Lonchura striata: one gene and its partner. The protein of the gene in region 1 purifies or fractionates together with the protein of each later gene. This does not show direct contact. Links are inferred from orthologs where the notes say so. Each region holds a gene or a part of one and is shown in the gene's direction. Other genes may lie near its edges.

Region 1 (3,743 bases):
TCCCCGCCCGCCCCGGGCGCTGGTCCCAGTCTCTGCCCCCACGCTCGGCTGCCCCCGGGACCGCGCGGGTCCCCTCGCCCCGGCAACCACCGAGGGGGCAGCACCCCGTGTCACCCAGGGAACCCCGTCCTGCGGGGACACCCCATGGCACTGGGGACACCCCATGGCACTGGGGGCACCCCAAGGACCTCACGGACCCCCAAAACCCTCAGATCTCAGCGATCCCTGACACCCCAAGGACCCTTACGCCCCACGGGCTCTGCACACCCCCCGGACACCCCCAAATCCCGGACACCCGGACACCTCGGGGACCCCTGACATCCCGGGGACCCCGGGCCCCACAGACCCTGGACACCCCACTGACCAGGGGTCCCGGCCACCCCACGGACACGCCGGACATCCCTGGATCCCGGACACCCCGCGGACCCCTGACACCCCACGGGCTCCGGACACGCCAGGGTCCCCTGACATCCCCCCTGCCTCCCGTGTCCCGGGGTCGCCGTGTCCCTATCCCCGTGTCTTTGTGTCCCGGTGTCCCTGCCTCCGTGTCCCTGCCTCCCGTGTCCCGGTGTCCCCGATTCCCATGTTCCCGTGTCCCCGTGTCCCTCCCTCCCGTGTCTCCATGTCCCAGTGTTCCGGTGTCCCCGTTTCCCCGTGTCCCCGTTTCCCCGACTCCCATGTCTCCGTGTCCCCGTGTCCCCGTGTCCCTCCCTCCTGTGTCCCTCCCTCCCGTTTCTCCGTCTCCCGGTGTCCCGGTGTCCCGGTGCCCCGGTGTCCCCGTGTCCCGGTGTCCCGGTGTCCCGGTGTCCCCGTGTACCGGTATCCCCGTGTCCCGGTGTCCCGGTGTCCCCGTGTCCCGGTGTCCCGGTGTCCCGGTGTCCCTCCCTCCCGTGTCCCCGTGTCCCCGTGTCCCGGTGTCCCGGTGTCCCGGTGTCCCGGTGTCCCGGTGTCCCCGTGTCCCCGTGTCCCTCCCTCCCGTGTCCCCGTGTCCCCGTGTCCCGGTGTCCCGGTGTCCCGGTGTCCCCGTGTCCCTCCCTCCCGTGTCCCGGTGTCCCGGTGTCCCGGTGTCCCCGTGTCCCGGTGTCCCGGTGTCCCGGTGTCCCTCCCTCCCGTGTCCCCGTGTCCCCGTGTCCCGGTGTCCCGGTGTCCCGGTGTCCCGGTGTCCCGGTGTCCCGGTGTCCCCGTGTCCCTCCCTCCCGTGTCCCCGTGTCCCCGTGTCCCGGTGTCCCGGTGTCCCGGTGTCCCCGTGTCCCTCCCTCCCGTGTCCCGGTGTCCCGGTGCCGGGTCCTGGCGCTCGTCCCCGCCAGCAGAGCGCTCCGCCCGCCACCAGGGGGCGACACCACCCCGCCACATCGCTTCCTCACGCCGCTCTTCATGGCCCCGCCTCACCCCGCCCTTTCTCTTGAGCGACGTCCCCACTACCCAATCACAGCCGCTTCTCCTCCCGCCTCTTCAGCACACCCATTTCTATTGGCTGGGAGGGGCGGAGGGGCGGGCGCGCCGCGCTGCGCGGCCAATGGCGGGGCGGAGGGGGCGGGGCCGGGCCGCCATGGCGCCGCCGCCGCGCTGACCGTGCCGCGCCGCCATGGCCGGGGCCATCGCGTCCCGCATGAGCTTCAGCTCCCTCAAGCGCAAGCAGCCCAAGACCTTCACCGTGCGCATCGCCACCATGGACGCCGAGATGGAGTTCAGCTGCGAGGTGACGGCCCGCGCGGGCGCGGGGTCCCGCTGAGGGCCCGGCCCCCACCCCCCAGCCCTGAGGCCCCTCCGGTCCCTCCCGGCCCCCCCCGCCGGTTCCCTGGGCCGGCAGCGGCTCGGCCTTGTTCTGCTTATAAATCAGCCTTATCCTGGTGTCATTTGCGTTATAATTGCACAACAATCTGCCTACAATTCGGCTTTTCTTTGGTTAATAACTCACCTTTACTTTGGTTATGAATCGGTACCATTTGGCTTTGCTTTGGTCATAAGTTGGCTTTGTTTTGGTTGTGATTCAGTGTTTATTGCTTGTAAAATTCAGTTGTATTCTGATCATAGTTTGGCTTAGTTGTTGTTGTCAGTAGTCCTTATTATGTGTGTAACTCAGCATTGTTTTGGTCATAAATTGGCTTTTTTTCTGTGTATAATTTTGCTTTAGCCTGGGTATATTTGGCATTATTCTGGTTATTATCCATCTATGCTTTGGTTATAATTCAGCTTTATTTTGGCAATTATTCATCTTCACTCCAGGTGCAATTTAGCTTTATTTGGGTTATTATTTGGCTTCATTTCGATTACAATTCGATCTCGTCCTGGGTGCAATTTGGCATTACTCTGGTTATAATTAATCCTATACTTTGGCTATAATTCAGCTTAATTCTGGGTATAATTCAGTTTTATCCTGGTTATAATTCAGCTTTATTCTCATTACAATCCAGCTTCCCTTGGGCTCTAATCCAGCGCTGTCCTGCCATCCCAGCCCAAGTCACCACTACACTGTGGCTGTCACAGGGCTTGAGGAATCTCTGTGTCAAGGCTTAAATCCACAGGAATCCAACTCCCAGGTGCTCCACAAACACCCAAGGACAGGATTTTGGCATTTTCCTGAGCTCTTAGCTCACCATGAAGCTGAGGGATGCTCCGGGGGGTTGGGTCTGGCTTTTCTGTGATAATTTCCCTTTTTGGGGCCCTTGGAACTTGTAAGGCGTTCTCCCAGGGCGTTGCTGCCAAACTTTGCTTTTTCAGCTGATCCAGAGGGATTGGCCACACGAACACTGAAACCCCTCTCCAACCTCTGCATTTAATAGTTTATATTTCATTATCCTGCCCCAAACCCTGAGAGAATCCCAGCGCCCATCAGCCAAGGGGAGTTTGTCATCACCGATTTCCTGGCTCTGGAAATCTGCTCTCAGCCCTGAAGGACTTCCTGCTTTTCCTTGGGATTAAGGATTTGCTCTGGGCAGCCGTGTGAGCTTCCCACTTCCAGCAGAGTGTGAGTGTCCTGGCTGTGTTTTCCCTGGTTTCCCAAGGCTGCAGCAATAACTGATGGTGGAAAGTAAATAAATGTGAATTTTAGTGCTGTGGCCGCGTGTCACTTCGGGTGTCACTTCCCGCTGAGATCAGGGGGGTTTGTGCAGCATTCCCGTGGGATTTGGCCGTGGAACTGCTGCATCTCCAGCTGACTTTCCTGGGAGGTTCCTGCCAAAAGAACTTGTTGCTGCAGAGGGACTCCTGCAGCTGGAAGGAGCTCAGGCCCTGCTGGGGGCTCCTTGTGGTGGAGCTGGTGCAGGGGGGATGCAGAGGGAATTCAGAGCTCGTCCTTCAGCAGGGAATATTGGAGCAGGAGGGGGGATAGATGGATGCAGGTGGGTGATGGGGCTGTTTCACACCTTGCAGGTGAGGAGTGAGTTTTTATGGAATCGTGGAACGGTTTGGGTGGGAAGGGATCTTAAAGCTCATCCCGTTCCACCTCCTGCCATGGGCAGGGACATCTCTCACTGTCCCAGGCTGCTCCCAGCCCCATCCAGCCTGGCCTTGGGCACTGCCAGGGATCCAGGGGCAGCCACAGCTGCTCTGGGCACTCTGTGCCAGGGCCTGCCCACCCTCACAGGGAACCTTCTCAATCTCCCATCCATCCCTGCCCTCTGGCAGTGGGAGCCATTTCCTGTCTCCTGTCCCTCCATCCCTTGTCCCCAGTCCCTCTCCAGCTCTCCTGGAGCCCCTTTAGGCCCTGGAAGGGCTCTGAGCTCTCCCTGGAGCTTCTCCTC
Region 2 (3,743 bases), on another chromosome or scaffold:
GAGCACAGTGAATGGTTTCTTCAGCCTGTTGCTGCATTTCTTCCTACCTGTCTTTATCTATTTGGCACAGTATTGAGGAGGAAGAAGCCACCATCAGTCCCTAGAAGAAAGAAGTACAAATACAATGGACAGTCCAGGCATCACTGGGCAACTTTCTGGACTGAAAGAGGTTGAAGCACTGAGATGGGGAAACACAAGCAGTATCCTGGCAGTGCCACTTATCCCAAAAGACGCCTACCCTACGGGGCAGTGCTGGGAATAGGGTGTGTTGGGACTGCACAACCCAGTCTTTGCCCACATGGCTGCAGGGATGGGAATGAAGTGCTGTGCAAACATCAGGGGAGCTCTTCTGCCATGTACCCTCTGTCAAAACCGTTGGCAGCAGGGCTGGAGTGGTCTGGGGAGATGGAGCGGTGGGTCACTCCAGCCCTAATGAATGCTCATCCCGTGCAGCTGGTGTGCCAAACCACAAAGACATCTGGTGGAGCAGGTGGGCAGCAGGGCAAGGGGCTGAGCTCAGGAATGGGGCGGTGAGTTTAGGAATGAAATGGTATTCCCAGTCAATCCCCGAACAGCCATCCACTCCTCCATGGACAGGGAGAAGCTAGAGGTCTGGGAGACAAGGAGGATGCCCAGGGTTAATTCACGGGCTTCGGACTCGGCGTAACCTTCACCACTTGTCCCGCAAGGGACCAGGGAGTCTGTGGCGGTCTCTAGGTCGGGATTTAGATCCCGGGCATCCCCAGACACAAGGCGGGGCAGCCGTGGTGCCACACAGGCTCCCCCCGGGCGTACCCAGGTGCCTCCATTGGCTCCGGGTGGGGCCGCGAGTCTCCAACCTGGGGCGCGAAGCTCCCCCGACCCTGCCTCCCCCACATCCCCGACAGGAGGGGCGGGAGGGGCGGGCAGCGGCCGCCCCGCGCCGGGAGGTGCCGGACCGCCCCCGGGCCCGCCCCGTCGGCTGCCCCCGCCCCCGGCGGCCCCGCCCGGCCCGGCCCGGCCCGCGGCGGCCGGCGGAGCGCGCCCGGCGGCGGCGGGGAGCGGCGCGGATGGCAGCGGTGCTGCCGGGGACGGCGGGGCGCGGAGCCGGAGGTAATGGCGGGGAAGGAGCCGGTGTCCGGGTGTCCCCGCACGGCTGCGTGTCCGTGCGTACATGTTCGCGCACACGTGTGTCTGTGCGTGGGGGTGCGGGCGCACGTGTGTGCCGGGGAGCGCGCCGCGCTGTGCGTGGGTGCCGCGGCGGGATGGCGCTTCTCGTGCCCACCCGTGAGTGCTGCCGTGCCCGCCGCCCTCCCGGGAGGATGCGGGAAGGCCTGAGCAGCCTTCCGCCGGCTGCCGGACCCAGCGCACCCGCTGCTCCCCGGGCTGCGTGGGTGCGGGAGCGGGGCCGCGTCCGTGCTAAGCCGGCCCGACGCTCCGGTAGACCCGAGCCGCCGGCCCGGCGGCCGCCGCTGCTCCCGCTCCTCCGCTCCCGGAGTCCTCCCCGGGAATCTTCCCCGCTCCGGGAAGGCAGAGCGGCGCGGGGCGAGCCCCGGAACAGTCGGAGCGGGGTGTCTGCAGTATATTCTGCGGGAGGAACGCGCCGGGGGTCCGCCGCCCCGGCGCTCCCGGGAGGAGCGAAGCGCCGGCCGGGAGCGCGGGGAGTGTTTCCCGTTTCCGCAGCAGCGATCGCAGCGTCCCCGCGGGTCCCCAGCGCCGGGCGGTCACTCGGAGCGGCCCCGCAGCGCCCACCGGGACACCGGCCCCGTCCCGTCCCGTCCCGTCCCGCGGGTGCAGCGGGCGGCAGCGCCGGCCGCAGGGGACACGCAGCAGGGGCCTCCCACGCCGGGAGAGCGCTTTCTCACGGTGTTGTTATAGGGGGATGGCGAGAGGGAACTTTTTTTGTATTTAACCTTACTACCTATGCAGGGAACAAAGATAAACTCCGGTTAAAAAAAAAAAAAAAAAAGTCAGCATTGAAAGGAAAAAAAAAAAACCCAAAAAACCACGACGTGAATTTAACCCGAATCCTCCTGCCAGGTTTTATGATTCATAGCTTTAAGTACAGGAAGGTCGCTGCTTGGGCTTTTTCCTCTTTCGATGGAAAGAGGTTTTTTTTTTTCTTTCCTGGTGCTGTGAGAGCATCCCAGGAGCTGTGGGCAGCTGCTGTAAGAGACGAGGATCTGGTGACTGAGAGTCTGCAAGACCCTTTTTGTGCATCCACTGAGTTTGGGTTATGCCTTTTTATGTATAGAAATAAGCCTAAAAGCTTCCTGAAAGAATGGTGGCAGTGAACATGAGTCCTATGAATTTTCCTGAGCACAGCTATCTGGCAGCGCCATTCCTGCTAACAGGTGTGCATGTATATAGTTTATATATAGATATTAAATATATATCTAAATATATTTAGATGTATGTTTCTGTATTTTTATATTTTTACATATATATATAGACATATATGTCTGCATATATTGTATATAAATAAAATATAGACCATGTGTATATATTTACTTTTATACAAACAACAACAACATATATGTGTGTATATATACATAGTCATTTCTAATGGCCAGAAAAGCATTTCCAAGGGTTCTACAAATACATTATCAAGAAATGTCCAAGTGGTGGGGGCAGGGAATATTGGATTGGCAAGAGCCCATAGTAGAGCCCTCTCTGGGGCTGTGCTGGGTGCATGGCATGGCCCTCCATGGAGGGTCAATGTCCTGCCCAGCCTTCCTCATCCCCAGCCATGACTAGAGCAGTGGTGTGAGGGGATGAATTTGGGGAGGCTGGTTTTAGGTTGTTAAACAGGGGAGGTATGTGCCCCACAGTGTTGCTGGGGTTGGGCTTCTCAGTTTCCCCAGGCTGTGTGGGGGCCACTGGGACCCCCCAATCACCTGCATGTCCATTCTCATCTGTCCTGATGTTCGTTGCCCCCCGTTTTCCCTCTGTCAACATTTGGCAGGGGAAACTTTACTTTCCCTCTTCTTTTGGAAGGCGCTCAGCTGCTGGAGGAGGGCAGCTTCAATCCATAGAGGCACGTCTGGCCTCTCCTAAGCCCAGATGTCTGCAGGATTGGTGACAGGGTGAGGGCAGTTTCCAAATCCTGGCCTCCCACGGTGATCTGGACCAAGTCTCTGCACATTAGTCCCTGGATGGAGGGATGGATGCACGGATACAGCTCTGGTGCTCCTTGCAAGAGCTCCTCTGTGAGGAAACGCCAGCACAGAGCCAAAGGCTTTGCGTTTCTCCAGCAAAGACACACCTAAGGGGTTGGAAGGGATCCCAGCAGCAGCCTGGGGAGGGTCAGGCACAACCAGACTCTGTGCACATGAGTGTTTCAGGATTATGTGGAGATGTTACTGCTGACCATTGCACCTTTCCTTCAGGAAATGAAAGCCTGAGTCCACAGTACCTTTTTTTCTCACTCATAGGCGCGTAACTCGCTTTAAAGGCCAGGTCTGGTGTAAATGTTATTTGGTGCTAAGGCAGGAGTGTGTGCCCTGTGCAGCCTTCTGGTCCTGGAAACCATTAGGAGGACAGCTGCATACTTGGATTTTCACACACAGACTATCTGCTAATGTAATAGTCCCAGTGGAAAGTTTAGTGCTCGGGAATATTTTGCGGATTTGAGAAAAATCCCAGGAGGATTTTTGGTTTCATATAGCAATTGCTTTTTGGCAGCTTTGGTGTAGATGTAATCTGGTCCCCATTTATGTCCTGAATTTTTAAATGGAATGGCCTGCCTTCCACTCAGAGCAGAA

Evidence for each region. The genes of interacting proteins can lie anywhere in the genome.
Region 2: the proteins of NF2 (region 1) and AMOTL1 purify together in Homo sapiens (affinity purification with mass spectrometry; 6 studies listed by BioGRID and IntAct, counting the BioPlex papers as one, with this or other methods). This does not show direct contact. The link is inferred for Lonchura striata from reciprocal best matches to the Homo sapiens genes NF2 and AMOTL1.

What each region holds. Positions count from the first base shown.
Region 1 is NC_134620.1:2,945,137-2,948,879, reverse strand, and holds the start of NF2 (merlin), read left to right. Parts: upstream 1-1,542; 5' UTR 1,543-1,585; coding exon 1,586-1,699; intron 1,700-1,765; exon of another isoform or gene 1,766-2,968; intron 2,969-3,743. UniProt on the Homo sapiens protein: Probable regulator of the Hippo/SWH (Sav/Wts/Hpo) signaling pathway, a signaling pathway that plays a pivotal role in tumor suppression by restricting proliferation and promoting apoptosis.
Region 2 is NC_134604.1:39,569,348-39,573,090, forward strand, and holds the start of AMOTL1 (angiomotin-like protein 1), read left to right. Parts: upstream 1-1,016; 5' UTR 1,017-1,049; coding exon 1,050-1,092; intron 1,093-3,743. UniProt on the Homo sapiens protein: Inhibits the Wnt/beta-catenin signaling pathway, probably by recruiting CTNNB1 to recycling endosomes and hence preventing its translocation to the nucleus.